3 linked regions of the Drosophila melanogaster genome follow. Changing the gene in region 1 together with any one later gene gives a genetic interaction. Each region holds a gene or a part of one and is shown in the gene's direction. Other genes may lie near its edges.

The links.
Region 2: of Akh (region 1) and AdoR, changing one suppresses a phenotype caused by changing the other (phenotypic suppression), as found in Drosophila melanogaster (one study listed by BioGRID).
Region 3: of Akh (region 1) and AstA-R2, changing one enhances a phenotype caused by changing the other (phenotypic enhancement), as found in Drosophila melanogaster (one study listed by BioGRID).

What each region holds. Positions count from the first base shown.
Region 1 is NT_037436.4:4,139,519-4,143,808, forward strand, and holds Akh (adipokinetic hormone), read left to right. Parts: upstream 1-1,948; 5' UTR 1,949-2,067; coding exon 2,068-2,136; intron 2,137-2,204; coding exon 2,205-2,375; 3' UTR 2,376-2,552; downstream 2,553-4,290. Other genes in the region: Ras64B (Ras oncogene at 64B), read left to right, coding at 389-476, 533-942; CG32260 (uncharacterized protein), read left to right, coding at 3,668-4,238. UniProt on the Drosophila melanogaster protein: Probably causes a marked increase in hemolymph carbohydrate.
Region 2 is NT_033777.3:30,145,768-30,151,557, reverse strand, and holds the start of AdoR (adenosine receptor), read left to right. Parts: upstream 1-1,951; 5' UTR 1,952-2,397; intron 2,398-5,790.
Region 3 is NT_033777.3:28,740,944-28,747,006, reverse strand, and holds the start of AstA-R2 (allatostatin A receptor 2), read left to right. Parts: upstream 1-2,224; 5' UTR 2,225-2,981; coding exon 2,982-3,521; intron 3,522-6,022; coding exon 6,023-6,063.

The sequences.
Region 1 (4,290 bases):
CACCCCCGTGTGTATCTCCAATTGGGGATCAAGTGGTCAGAGCCCAGAACCAGGGAGTTGCGTTAGACGCAGCCCCCAGTTTTCTGGGTGTGCCGATCGATTCCCCGAGAGTTTGTGCCATGGTCACGACCACAATGACCGCCCGCTTCCATTTATTTTTAGTCATTTGCGTCATCTGCACATCTTTCGTGTATATGCTGTAGCTTTTCCCCAAGATATATAGAGCATAGTGGATAGTGAATGATAAAAGTGACGTGTGTAAACAAATCAAAGGCGGAATGATAAACGCACCCCGCCCACATAAAAAACCCAGTCTTATAATGTTTATATATGTAGTTTTGTGGCCTCGGCAGCTGGCGGTACAATAATTTTAATCCTAATCTTGCAGAGCTACTTCGTCACGGACTACGATCCCACCATTGAAGACTCGTACACGAAGCAGTGCAACATCGACGATGTGCCAGCCAAATTGGACAGTAAGCTTCCTTTCTTTACCCTTACCAGATTCATAATAACCTGATATTTTACCTAGTTTTGGACACGGCTGGCCAGGAGGAGTTCAGTGCCATGCGGGAGCAGTACATGCGCTCCGGCGAGGGATTCCTGCTCGTCTTCGCGCTCAACGATCATTCCAGCTTCGATGAGATCCCCAAGTTCCAGCGCCAGATACTGCGCGTCAAGGATCGCGACGAGTTCCCCATGCTGATGGTGGGTAACAAGTGCGACCTGAAGCACCAGCAGCAGGTGTCCCTGGAGGAGGCGCAGAACACCAGCCGCAACCTGATGATCCCCTACATCGAGTGCAGTGCCAAACTGAGGGTCAACGTCGATCAGGCCTTCCACGAGCTCGTGAGGATCGTGCGCAAGTTCCAGATCGCCGAGCGTCCCTTCATCGAGCAGGATTACAAGAAGAAGGGCAAGAGGAAGTGCTGCCTGATGTAGAAGGAACTAAATGGAAGAGAATCTCCTGAATGCCGCAGCGGAAGCAGGAGCCAACATATAATGATTATAACACCAAATTTTTTGAAAAACACGCGTCGACTGAGCTTTGAATTCCGTTGAGAAGACGATAAACCAGTAACCCGAAACCAGTAACCGCACAAAACGTGTCAACGAGCCCAAACGAAGTGCATTTCTTACCTGCCCAGGTGCATGGCGCATTCAACGAACGAATCGAATAAACTTCGCCACTCTCAAATAGCTACGAAGAATCTTACAACTGACAACTAACAATGCAAAATGCAAACAGAAACACGAAACATAGGTAGATATATACAACAGATTCACACGAATAACTTATATATACATATATATTTCTACATATATTTTTGTAATATTATTTTGTTGATCAACGACAACAATTAAGGACGAATGTTTTCATGATTATTACCAATCGTGGCTCGCAGGCCATTTGTTTTTATAATGCAATAACTAAGCCCAGAACGTTTGTTTCGATTAAGCCAAAACGTAATAATGTGTTATTGTAATTTGTATTGTTATTTACTACTAATATATACGTATACATATATTAACTGCTTACAAACCGATTTTGTTGTAACAAATTGAGTGCCTCGTTCTCGCGCGTAGAAATCTAAAACATCAAACTCTGTATTACACCCACGGCATTTTTGTACTATACCCGCAGCTGCCAGGCGCGCACAACTCACTTAACGATACTTTTGTACATGTCCCCAGTCGGATCCGGATCCTATGGTTTATTGTTCGCCAAATGTATTGCAACAGTTGCTTTAGCCGCAATCTTGTTTTAACTCTTATACACTGCTTAATTTAACGAACTTATTTAATGGTATATAAATAAATATATAATTAAATTTAAAATTAAACATATGCGCAATTCTAATAAACACATGGAGAATCACAAACGCTTCCACATAGAAGATTGTTTCAATGACGCTCTCGACTGGAATTGAAAATTCCGACCCAATCCAAGCAATTATAGAAAGAATCCTTGCTAGTGCTGTGTTAATTACTTACCAGCTGTCTTCCCTTCGAGCTCAATGGGTATAAAAGCGGGCTGAATCGAAGTGGACCAGCATAGAACTCAGAATGAATCCCAAGAGCGAAGTCCTCATTGCAGCCGTGCTCTTCATGCTGCTGGCCTGCGTCCAGTGTCAAGTGAGTGAATTCATATCCCGCTGCAGGATATCCCTTTCTGATGTCTCATTTTATTTTCCTCTATATAGTTGACCTTCTCGCCGGATTGGGGCAAGCGTTCGGTGGGCGGAGCTGGTCCTGGAACCTTTTTCGAGACACAGCAGGGCAACTGCAAGACCTCCAACGAAATGCTGCTCGAGATCTTCCGCTTCGTGCAATCTCAGGCACAGCTCTTTCTGGACTGCAAGCACCGCGAGTAGATAGCTGTAGGCCAACCAGATCCTGGTCCGGATCTCGGACGATGTCTAGCACGCACACACATACACTCTATATATATAATTACCCGTATATACAGCACGTTATCAAGGTAGTCGTAGTCGGCATTTAGATTTAATGGAACACTCCTTTCTCAACAATAAATAAGCGCATCCGAAATTAATTCTGCTAGCTGCAATCTGGGGAATATGTATGAGTAACCTCAGTGGGTGCTTCACCCATCCTTCAACTTTTCAAGTTCATCCCCCAAAAAAAAAAAAACGAACAAGCCGCTAGTACCTGTCGATTAAATTTAATTTGATTTCGAAAATTGCCACAATTAAATCATTTTCCATTGGCGCTTAAGTTCCGGTGTGTCAGTGGCCCACGGGTTCAGTTCGTCTTTGTAGTTCATAGGATCAGAATGTGTGCGATCTCCGGCCTCGCGAAAGCTCATAAATTTCTATTCATTTATATGGGTCTATCCATCTTGTCGTCCGTCAAGTGTAAGTGGTGTGAATTTCTATATTTAGTTCAACATTCGGTTTAAAAATACCCAACCGATCGTGCCAATAGATCTGCTTAAGATATATGAGATCGTGTCATTCCATTTAATGTGTCAACATAAACCCATCCCCCACAGAGCACATCATCTAACACCCAGCTAATGATTTCAGCAGATCTCCTCCACAAACGATTTCAATCGGATTTCAAGCGCCACTGGCCCAGTTATTTTAATTTCCCCCGAATTAACGATGCATCTCGGTGTGAATTCGTTGAATCTGCCATTAGGTGCTTGAATAATGCACTGAATTAAGTTTTTAGAATTGTGCATTTCCCAGTAGTCATTCAAAACATGTTACACAGTCAAGTGATGTCGTTATAATATGAGTAATGGGTCACTAAACATTTGAAAGTATTTTTATCAAAACTACAAAAAGGTTCTTTACTCATACACATCCGTCAAAACATTGTTAATGAAAATTATTTTTTATTTATTTATTTATTTTTAATATAACATATTAGAAACATTAAAACCATAAATTATGAAATATAATAATTTTAAAGACCCCATCTGACCCCTCGTTACCCTCAATCCGCTCCTGAGCTTGGTCATTTCAGTCGACTCTTTGGATAATTGTGCCCCACTAAAATACAATTGAATTATAATCATTTTGGGCCGCCATGCTCCACTTGGCCAAGCTGCAATTGGCCGAAAATTGAGAGTTCTGTGGACAGTTGCCACCTGGTGGCTAAGCAGAAAGCACGGATAAACGGATACGGCTACGGATTGGAAATGGTACTGCTGGACGAGTTCTGTGTGAAGGTGTACTTCTGGCCATTCCTTTCGTATCTGGCCAGTATCAAGGGCTGGTGCCCGCTGTACCCACCAGGTTACTATCCCATCTACGCCCTGCCGCCGCCGCAGGGACCTCCATACCCTGCGCCGCCCCCGCCGCCGCCGCCGTTTCAGCCGATTGGTCCACTAATACCGCCCCAACCCGCTCTTCCGTCCACACCTGCAGTGATCCCGACGTTCCAGCCAACGCCTCCGAATCCCCAGACGCCGGTGACGCCGCCCCTGATCACGACCAGCAGCAGTACCACTAGTAGCACCACATCGACGACGGGACTGACCACCACCACGACCGCCGGCACCACTCTGCCGCTTCCGATGCCAACGTGTCCATCGCAGCCGCTGGTTTGCCTGACCGGCGGAGCACGTCCACTGCCCAACTGCCCCTGCATCGATCCTCGCCAGCAGCAGAACTCCCCGTTGCTCTCGTCCACGGGACCACAAATCGGTTCGGATATGATGGTCTTCATGCCGCTTAATTCCGGACGTAGGCGACGTCGTCGCCGGAGACGTCGGATACTCTACTAAGATCACCTTCTAGCCACCAATTCAAAAAAAAATCA
Region 2 (5,790 bases), on another chromosome or scaffold:
TCCGACTGACTGTGGAATTCATTGAATGTGCCTGCAATTTTTGGTGGGGAGGGGTTCCCCATATCGCATTTCTGCGGCTCTACATAACCGAGACCGAATGGATACGAGTGGCCAACATATGGATCTGAGCCGTTTGCCCGCTCTGCTAAAAAGTTTGAGAACTGAGTTTGTTTTGCTGATCTGTTGTTTTTATTAATGAGCTGTTGATAGTGCTGGTTAAGTCCCATTTGATAGGCATTCAAAAAATTCTATAATTATAAATCCTATAAATTGTAAATATGACTTTTTGGTCCAAGCTCGATTTCCCTGTTTTTGGTTAAAAAATAATGCGTTTTTTGGACACAACTTTGAAAATAATGGTTCAAAAGTGGAGTGGCATATCTTATTTTACTCCTAATTAACTTCCCAATCGATTAGTGTTCAAATTTGGAAACTTTAAATTTTTGCGATTTTTTGCAAAATTTGATGATGTTACCCCTTATAAAAATTCGAAAATTGACAAAAAAATTTTTTTTTCTTAATTCGAAAAAACGGGACAGGGATCGTAAGCATTGGTAATTAGCTGCACAAAACAGTAATTATTTTTACTTTACGACCATTTTCAGTCAAGAAATATTGAAAAAACCACTTGGAAACATGGATTATTTTGATCAACTAGTTTTTCTCATTTTCCATCCAAAATAATCGTTTTATTTTTACAAGGAAATTATCCATGTTAAAGATTAAATAATCATTTAAAGCGTTAAGCATTAGCTGAGACACAAACCTTTCGAAGTTTTACCGTAAGCTTACCAACGGCTGTGGTGAAGCTCTCCCGCTGTCTCTGTCACTCGCACTTCCCTGTCTCTCGCACAATTTAAATATTTCTTAAAATTCAAAAGCAATTAAAGTGCGGTCATAAATTGTGCGAGCTGACTACGCTCCGAATCGATTGCATTCAAATCTCCTTGTAAAACCCAAAATGGGCGTGCAAATTGCCAGCACGTGGACCCATAGATATGGTTCTAAAACTTACAGATCCGGGCAAAAAGAGTGCTGCTCAGTTCATTACGTATACGCCGGATTGGCTGCAGCAAGCATCGCGATTTTGTTTGCACATCTAAAGCAGTGACTATTCGCTAGACAGAAGGCAAACATCTTCGCAGGCCAGTCACGTGCACGTAAATGTCAATAAAACGATATTCCCAGTCGATGGTGATGGTCCGATATGATATTGTAGTATGGGGGCATTAATAATACCCGATGCTCGAGCAATACGATCGCACTCCGCTTGACACAGTAGCAGCCCCAACATCGGGCAATTAATATGCGGCAAACAATTTTGATGAACTGCTAACAAGCCGATGGATCGATGGGGGTTTTATGGGGGCTTCTGGTTCTATACCGGGATGACAGCCCATAAAGCAGCACAATGGCACAAATTGATTTTGGCCAAACGATTATTTCGGGGGTTGCGTGCTCTTGGGCACATCCGCATCGAAAAGTAGTACCCCTCCGAAGCCAAGGATCAACCAGCTGGGCCATCAATATCAATGAGCGGATGCCGATTGATTGGCAGACCCGTCGATTCTTTATTGGTCCGTCTAAGAAAATACATATTGCCCATCGCGGTTTACGTCTCAATTATATTTGAGTGCCATTGAAAGTGTAAAGAACGTTCACAAACGGCGGCCAGAAATAGCGAGCGGAATCTCGGCGACAGCCACAAATCATAGCTATAAAGAAAAGAGCCAGCATATTTCGTTTACGATTATATCCGGACGGAGGCCAAGCCGTAGAACTGCAACTCTCCGCGCTTTTCCAAGCACTCAACAGGCGTCCGCAGCTCGCAGTCCGCAGCTCGGGGGCTCGTCCACTTTTCCCGAAGTCCCCCAGTTGGGTTACCCGATTCGGAAATCCCGAGCCCGAATCCCAACTGCTTGGGCTTGCTATCCGTGCGATTCATTCGCGCATTTTGCCGTCGAGCGTTGGCCAGCGCGGTGGATATTTCGCATATCCGCAGTGGAGAATCGCATATCGCAGCGGTATCAAGTTTTAAAATTCAGTTTCGAATGCCATAAAAAATAAATAATAAAATTAATAAACAAATCCGGTGCGTGTGTGCCTGTGTCTGTGCGGTTCCGTCTCAATGAAATGCCAAACTAAATAAGCTTGGAAAAGTTTTCCATCCAGTTTTTATGGCAACCCAGCGAGGCCCGAAAGAGTGTCAATTGAATTAGCGTCTCGGGCTATAAGAAAATAATACAGAGCCAAAGAGAGATTATCAAGACGCAACAGGTGATTGGATCGCGGATTTATGAATTCGCAAAGGTGTTTGTTTCTCTGATATATAAAACCACCTGTGGCTCCTCCTTCTAGTTTTAGGACCACTCTCTGGAAATCCAACTTCGATTCCAGGTAACTACACTAATTACCCCCAAAGTTTACTTTAATTTATATATAGTGCTAGTGCAAACAAACGAAAAAAGAACATATGTTAGAGAGCCGAAAAAGAAAATCGATAAAATTCGGACTCAGCATTATGTTTATGCTAACCGCAAAGGCAACTAAATATTTGCTTTTCGCAGCGGGGAAAGTCTTCACCTGTTGCACGTATCGCATGTCCTGTTGATTGGCTAATTGATAACATCCAGTTCCGGTCATCACCATCAGCCATATATCAATCCATCCGCACATCCATGCGGATCCCTCCATATATCCATTCGCATGTCCACCCACCCTTGACCCTGTCAGCGGGCAGCCCATTAAATCATCCCGAGCAAACAAATTAGCGGAACGAGTGCATCAATAAACAAAGTTCACCTGTTGCCCGCTTACTGCCGCGTAGCGAAAAGAAAAGACATCTGCAGTTTGCATTAGCGATACATCTTGTATCTTTTGGATGCCAGCCTCCTACTTATGGCGGATTTTTTGGAATTGCACTCGATGGGCAGGGAAATAAAGCAAACTATGGCGAAATGAACCGAGCAGGGCGAGTGAACATCAAAAGCGTTCGGTTCGGTTTGGATGGGATGGTATGGCACGGGCATAGGTGGAGAAGGTGGGGTGTATCTATCTATCTATCAGATGCACACGGCGCTTGTAACCGCAATTCGCATGCCACCGCCCACCGCCCACCGCCTACCGCCCGTCCTTCGACCTCCTCAAGTCGCCAGTGCTCTTGATTACGCCTTTGTGTATAAATTAATTAAATTAAAAGTTTCCGGTTAAGCCTCCGAACGCCGACAAACGCGGCGCTCGAACGCATTGCATTCGAAAGTGCAGAAATGTCCGATGCACTCGGTTCAGTCATTTCGACTTCGAGGAGCATTCGATGATTATCGCACCCTTTCGATTCTGCTGATAAAAGTGAAGAAATATTTATGCTTATATTTGAAGCATGAATGTGCAGCATTTGTGTCAACAAGTTGGCCGGGGTTTCCCCGTTTCAGCACTCACAATGCAATTGCAATGGCCTCTTATCACAAACTTAGGCCGATCCAATGAACTCAGTTTCCATGTTCATACTGCAAAGTTACAAAAGGCGCTGTTATAAGTGTGATAAAGAGATAAATATAGTAAATTATGCTGCTGAGGAAAGGCTATAGACCCATGTGGAAAATGGTGATAACATCGAAATAAATAGGTAAAACAATTGCAATGGATGATAAAGAGAAGCCATATACAAAGCAGGCTGTAAACTAGTCATAACAACACATTTCATGTGGAAATTATTTTTATAATTTCCTTTTAAAATATACATTAGTAATAATGATTTACTTCATGGCATTTCATTAGTTTAAAAAATAATTTGTCATAGTCATCGCAAATGATCTCCCAAAAGTACATCATTTATCTTTCTGTGTAACTGAGTGGCTATTGCAGGCACGTTTCCGAGGCCCAAGGCTCCCTGTAGCTACCTCATTTGGACGGCAATCCTTTTCCTGGGAAAGCCCTTCATCCCGCTGGGAAACGTGTGCAGCGAGTCGAGAAAGTCGAACCCAGAGATGGATTCATTAGGCTGCTCCTGGCACCGCCTGACACCCCATCTTCGAGCTGGTCCATTCCAATTGCTTCTATAAATATTCGGGCAGACACATCAACAACCTCCCAATCGCAAACCGAACGTCAGCACTTGCCAAAATCCAAGAGCGCGACGCGGGCGATTTCCAAACAAAGTCAACATCTCGGCCGAATCTGATTTCGTTTCGATTATACGAATTTAAAGTAAGTCACGCAGCGATTTTAGCAGTTCCCCTGGCCTGCAAATCGGGAAGCTAGGAGGTACATAAACATAAGTGGGTTGCGGTTGGGAATTAGCATCCAATTAGAAGATAATCGCGCGCTAACTGGCCGCGTAAACTTTTCGCGAAGAGATGGCCAAAAAAAAAAAAAGTGTCACAGATTTACGCTGCTTTGGCCACGCCCTAACCCTGTAATAGCGCCCACACCTCCCACACCTAATAGCGCCCACCAAAGTGCCCTTGAGTGCCTGCAGTTAATGTGCAGTCGACCTTCACGCCAACTAAAGACCAATTGTCAATATTTTGACAGCCATCGCCATCAAAAGGCAAAGCGGACTGCGAGTTCAGCGGGAATGGAAGTGGGTTCGATGATGAATATGTTGGCGACATATTGCAAATCCCAGTGGATGGTTTCGACCCACGTGTCCGGGGCGGTGGGCGGTGGGCGTGGCACACCTAATGTTGACATCACTTGGCCATTTAATGACTGCCTTTATGGGGGCTTTTACAACCTGATGATAAAGCGCCAGAGCGATGTGAACCCAACTGAACTGGAGAAAAGTGAGTCGCCCTTGAGTGGACTCCAATTGACGGCCAATTTGGCGCGGCTTTTTCAGCCCGTGCTCGCTGCGAGAGAGAAAAGTAATTCATTCACTACTTAACTAACAGATATGGTTTCTCTTTCATTCCGAGCAAAAATACGTTAAAAGGATTCATTTCCACTTTTATATGATCCTGCCAAAAATGCGTGTATGTTATGTTAAAACACTTTACTCTTCTCCTGAGTATTTTTTTCTCTGTGGAAAGACATACTTGTATGTTTATTGTGTTCTTTCAGTGTGAGCATTTATATTGGCTACCCAATCACCAGACCAGACCAGACCCTTCCATCCGGCAATCGCCATCGCATTGTCCTCGTTTTGTCCCCGGTCATAAGGTCTCGTACCGCCTCAATTACATTTATCCTGCCCTGAATTGATGACGGATACGAGCAATACGAGTTGTTGGTCGGGGAACAGCGATGCAGGATTACTCCCAGAGCGAACTAAACATATTGCAATTACATTACATTTGCATTGATCAGGGGGAGTCCTCTTTTCTTCCATAGTTGTGGATGCAGATGCAGTGCAGCTTACTCGGCGTGGATTAGTTCACTCAAACGGATGGCCCCGCGTGAGGCCATTACCAATGGGGCGGATCGGAGTGGATTGCCCCATCCACAGCCCAGCATTCGAAATGAGAAATTATTATATTTGAAATTTTACATAGTACCAAAATAGAACCCAGCATCGGGGCATGATTCAGGGCCAGCACGTGATGGGAGAAATGTGGGGTGAATGGAGGAGACGCGGCGGAGGACGAGGTGGCACCCAATGGACTGTGCAAACAGCGGAATACCAGTCGAAAGTCAGCGTGGAATGCACATTAATTGCGGCTCAGATTCGAGTTCAGTCGGCCGGTCATTCATGGCATTTGTCTGCCTGCATAATTAACAAGTCGAGGCGCTGGCTTTGCATTAATTATGCTCGAATTAAATCGGCGGAACAGTCATCTGGGCAAACGTTGC
Region 3 (6,063 bases), on another chromosome or scaffold:
ACCCGATCTGAGTTACCATCCATGGTTCCTATCACATGACAGATTTTACAATACACTTCTCTTCAACTGTTAGTATTAAATAAATTTATTAATGCACAGAAAATGCCATAGTTTAAATCCATTAAATCCAAATAGCATTTCTCCCACTGTTTTCCATTGACAACACCCCAAAGTTCGTGGCCCTGGCAGAGACTTGTAATCCCTATCGCATGATTATGCCAAAAATGAACCAATCCATCGCAGCGCACGAAAAAGGTTAAGCTCAATGTCCCTGCAAGATGGGTCCTTCAATTCGGTGAGTGGGTGTGTGTGCGCCATACGGATTATCATGCCGCTCAGGAGCACCCAAACAATTTTGACGCAATGAAATGATTTTGATGAAAAATTAAAAAGCATTTCAATCACGTCGAAAGTTTTCTGACATCACAAAAATTGTTGCTCCTCCCGTCGAAAAGGGAAAATGCGGAGTGAAAATTTCGAGTGTGTGCGGATGTGAAAGCGGATGTGGATGGATGTGATGTGGTCCCCAACTCTCGTGTCTGGTAGTCGTTTATTTAGATGCTAATTTAAGTGTGCGCCTGGAATAATGCTTTCCATTTTAGTTAAAACGCTGCGAAAGTTGTTCTTCAAGGTGATGGGTATTCGTGGAAATGGTTGGTGAACCTGATTTATGTAAACTTTACTTTGCAAAATTATTTATAAGTACATACACATATCCTTTACCGATCATTTTAAGCGCATTTCTTAAGCAATGTTACTTGTTAAAATATGCTGTTGTAAATGAATTTGTTAAAGGAACACACAGTCATGCCATGTGCTAGACTGTGAAATGTTATTTTTATTTCCGGTCTATTTTTTTATGGCAGCCGCAAAGTATGCAATGAAATTTGGAAAGTTGGCTGGCGGCATCGGTCTTCGACTTGAAAATTCTACCAATTCACCGCCACTGTCGGCCATTTAAATAGGCAATGAAGCTGCATTAAGAATTAAAGACTTCATTAAGTCCGCAGTGCTGCACATTAAATAAACATAATGCCGCCTTTTGCTGCTTGCCTCGGCCATTGTCGCCGGGCGATTTCTTGATTTATTTTTTTAGCCGTTGTTTGTTGTTCGTGGTGCTTAATTCGCATTTAATCTCATCAGGCTGGCGACGTCCTCGTCAGGGGTGCATTGAGCCATAGCCCCACACCTCACACCCCACCTCCCAACCCCACCTACACTCACATCAGCCAGAAATGCCAGGCGACGGGACAGCCCGCCGCAGGTTTGATGGGGGCCACAGCTGCCGCTGACGCAGCAGCCGACTTCGCTGCCGACGTCGACGTCTGCAGGTGACAGGTGAGCATTGCGTTGGCAGCGGCAGTAAAAAGCATGTAAATGAGGCGAGGACTTAACCTAGACCAAGACCGAGCTCGGATATCTGCCGGCTGCGGTTATATAATGTTGTGACAAGCCATCCCCGGCGACCAAAGGTGTTAAACCAGTGGATCCCATCTGACTGGCACGTATAAAAAGCAGAGAGCTTAAGTTCGCCTCTGGTCTGCATGCTTGAATATATGAAAAACATACTTTAATATATGTAAAGTATTTATCTTTAATAACCGTGTTGATATATATAACTAGTAAATAGAATTCATCATCGACTGAATGTAATAAGTAGAAGACATGACATCATATCATATCCATTTTTTTCGGTGTACAATGGGGGGCGTGGGCATGAACGCGTGCCAATTTTTTTGTTTTTTGTTTTTTTTTTTTCCACCTCTGCCAGCAGTTAATCAGAGAAATTAAGCAATGTACTAAGCGCGGCAGAGCAGAGACGACACCAACTGTGCAGCCGACGAGGCTGACGACATCAGCCAGGACATCCAGCTGTGCAGGACAATGGAAGACAGCGGGCGCAGACCCAGGACAAGTAGTGATTGCCCCGACAATTGCTGTGGCGCGTTGCCCATTCAACTGGGCGAGCAGTTCAGCAGTTTAGCGGTGGGAGCAACAAGAGCAAACATTCCAGCCCAGCTGATGGGGATTGGGATCGGATGAGGAGGATGAGGAGGAAGAGGTGGCTCCGGCGGCCACCCAAAACCATCACACGCACAGATGCCAGCTGCGCTGGTTGTTGCTATTGTTGCCATTATTCTTGCTGGGATGGCTGGCGTCGCTGCCGGCGTTTTGCCGCCGCCGAGGCATCGAAGTATTCCTCAACAAGCTCAGCCAGCAATCAGTTGGGCGCTGGATACGGACGCGAGCAGTGTGGACTATCGAATTGGCCAAAAGCAGCAGTATAAAATCGAAAATATATAGCGTACCGCGGCGCAGCAGTCGGTAGCAACAATAGGAACGTGGTTTTTTGGCCATAGCCTTATAGCCCCAAAATTTATGCCGTTCGTTTGTCAATAAAAAAGCAAACGAGAAATGTAAACAGAAACGCAGCGAAAGGAAGACATCATATTGAATTTATGGTGTAGGTGCAGCAACGTGGTCCTCGAACCTAAGGACACCCCGGTGTCCTTGTCGTCAGGGTGTGACTCGGCACAGTTTGGCTGTGTCGGTGTCGTTTGCACGTGCCCTCACCTTTAAACTCACTCTCTTGCCTTTCGCCTCACCGTGATCCTTGTGTGCTGTCCTTTATTGTTGTCTTACCTGTGCTACCCACCTACAATTACCGTTATCGTGGAAGGACCAAATTGCTTTTGCCCCCGCCACGTTGCGAACAATTCCGGTCGAGTTCGATACCACACGGCGTATGCGAAACGTTTTTGAGGTCTCCGAAGCTCAACGGTCGTAGTATTCCGCATGATAATTGAATTTTTGTGGCGGCTGCTTTGTGAAACTCTCCTAATTGGAAATTTGTTATTTGCGTTCGATGAACTGTGAGCGAAAAAGAGCCCAAAATTGAAAATGTCCCGTGACAATCAAGCGAAATCGCCAATAGCCAGTACAAAGTGAACCGGAAAGTTGTGCACTAAAGCTGAGAAAACATGGAGAACACCACAATGCTGGCTAATATTAGCCTAAATGCAACCAGAAATGAGGAGAATATCACCTCATTCTTCACCGACGAAGAGTGGCTGGCCATCAATGGCACTTTGCCGTGGATAGTGGGATTCTTCTTCGGCGTCATCGCCATCACGGGATTCTTCGGCAACCTGCTGGTCATCCTGGTGGTGGTCTTCAACAACAACATGCGCTCCACCACCAACCTGATGATTGTCAATCTGGCTGCCGCTGATCTGATGTTCGTAATCCTCTGCATTCCCTTCACGGCCACCGATTACATGGTGTACTACTGGCCATATGGAAGGTTCTGGTGCCGCAGTGTCCAGTACCTGATTGTGGTGACCGCCTTCGCCTCCATTTACACGCTGGTGCTGATGTCCATCGATCGGTTCCTGGCGGTGGTTCATCCCATTCGCTCGCGGATGATGAGGACGGAGAACATTACCCTGATTGCCATCGTGACTCTGTGGATCGTGGTGCTGGTCGTTTCGGTGCCAGTGGCCTTCACCCACGACGTGGTGGTAAGTGGGAGTGGAAGAGTGGGAGGAGTGGGTAGAATGCTATAAGTGGGCCTGCTGTGCCTGAATTTGCTGTGAAGAACACGGGCCAGGCAAATTTATTGCTTTCCATCATCGTCACCTCGTTAGATTCCTCTCGCTGCACGTCAATGGTGCCGACTGCCTGGTTCTAATGTAGCTATAGATACCTAGATAGATGGTCTGCCTTCTGCCAGATCGTAATCCAGAAAGCGAAGACCCCGCACAAACCAGCGATCGTCCAATCGACTGATCCTGATACAACTCATTTGTTTTTACTATATGCCCCTATTAAAGTATCCCCATTTTATCTTATTTTCTGTTTTGTGTTTATATTGAAAATTTCGCGATGCGCGGCGCCCGATTTGTTTTTGTTACTAATTTGCTATTTTGAATTCATAAATTTTTAATTATAGACCAGATAGCCAGCGAGAAACACTTGCCAACTGGGCGGTATCTGCCCATATCTGCCCACCTCCTCTCCGTGTGGCTTGCAAAATTTCAAATTCAACTGTTGATCCAAAAGCGCGTAAATCATGGGCAGTCGTAAGTCGTAACAAGCGGCCATTATGGAAACTTTGCACTTGCGAACTTTGGGCGCACACTGCGTATGATAAATGTCTTCGCGGGTGGCGACCTTGAAATGCTCATCTTGGACATTAGGCTTTTATGATCGATGCGAAAAGTGCGAGAAACAATTTAATTGCGGAATAATCGACGAAGATCGGAATTGTTTTGCTCGAGATCAGCGGGTGATATCAAAAATGAAAAGGGGAATTTACCGGCGATTTTGAGGATATACAATGTATTTGTATTTGCAGACTTTAACCTTAAGTTTTTATTCGCAAGAAAACACTGGGATTATTAACTAATATTCAATTTTCCGGTACAGTTCAAACAATTGTTGAGTGCTATTTAATACTGAATATCTATCATATTTTTTCATTGCGAGTATCAACTACACGTAATTATGGTCGGACATTGGTTCCAATTTCTGTTGATACTCATAAATGGCCCGCGGGCTTTTTCCACTGATTTCCCAGTGCCAATAAAGCGATTCCCACATCACACATGACCAACTTTTTGTTTGTGCCGTTGTGTTTCCCCTTTTCCTTGGCCAAAAGCGACAGTCGCGGTTAATTAAACGAATCTCATCTTCACACGGATGATGAACTTTTTTTATCTGTGAGATGGCAATGGCCCACTGTTGCTCCCGGTGTTGTTATTGTAACCTAATATTTTATTAAATGGCATTTCACGCTTCGTTATATTGTTATTTTTGTCTCGTTCGGTTTTTGTTCGCATTGGGGAGAGTGCTCCAATGGGTGGCATTATTGTTTGTTTATGTGTTTGCTTTGCTTTGTCTAAGGATTAAGCTGGAAAAATAGAGCCCACATTGAATGCTCATATGTGTGCTTTGCTTTGTTATCTGGTGTCTGCGTGTGCAAATACAAAGGAACAGGCGATAAAAAGGCATAATTAAGTCATGTTTGATCAACATGTTAATTAACAGTTTGCTATTAATTATTTCCATATTACATTGCCCAGCTACATGCTTGGTATATGCATATCAAATGAGCCTGTGAGAGCGTGTGCCATTATCTTTTTATTAGAAATCGATATCAAATAATAATCATAAATGCACATATGTCCGACTGCGTAACTAGATATGCGATCTCCAGGTCATGGCATTGATTGACAGCTGTTGGCTGATTTCTCGCGAACGAGGAAAGGGCATTAATGGCTTGTCAAGTCTATGAAGTCGTTGGGTTTTGCGGAGAACATGCCAGCGAAATGAACCCATAAATCAGCGGAGGGTCTGGCCATGATTTGTCTACTTCTGTGGCCTTGGCCACTTGACGCTGCGCAGATTCAGAGTTCGAACTCAATTTGTGGGCCAACATCGCTCGCTCAGTGTAACGAAAACAAGGGCGGGCCATAAACAAACATTTTTGTAAGCAATTCATGCCGGCATTAATGGGAAGATTTTTTAAATGCAATTTTCCACACGCATTCATCGATTGAAAGCGCGGTGAAGGGGCGGAGATTGTAAACAAAAATGTAAACAAAAGGCTGCGAATATTTTTACGATTCACCGGGCAGTTTACGACCCTCCTAAGCGTCAGCAAACCAGTCTCGTCTAGCCAACAGACCAATAGATTCTCCATCCCCCAAACAACAAGCCTCGAAAGCCCGATTGCCCATACCCATTGCGCTTTTATCCAAATCCAAAACTCCGGCTGAACAATTTGTCAGCCAAATGTCAGCGACAGAGAAACAAAGTGAGATTGCGAGTTAGTTGTCGACGTCCGAACTATTCGTATGACAGTTTAGTTTTATTTACGATGTCTGGCTGTTGGCCGTTTGACGTTGCTTGGCTGCCATGCAACTGTCACCGCCAACATGACGTATGCGCAATATTCGATTCCCACACCGCACACGTTTCTTCATAGTTCCCACAACCACATTCTCATCGATATCCGCAGGTGGATTACGATGCAAAGAAGAACATCACCTACGGCATGTG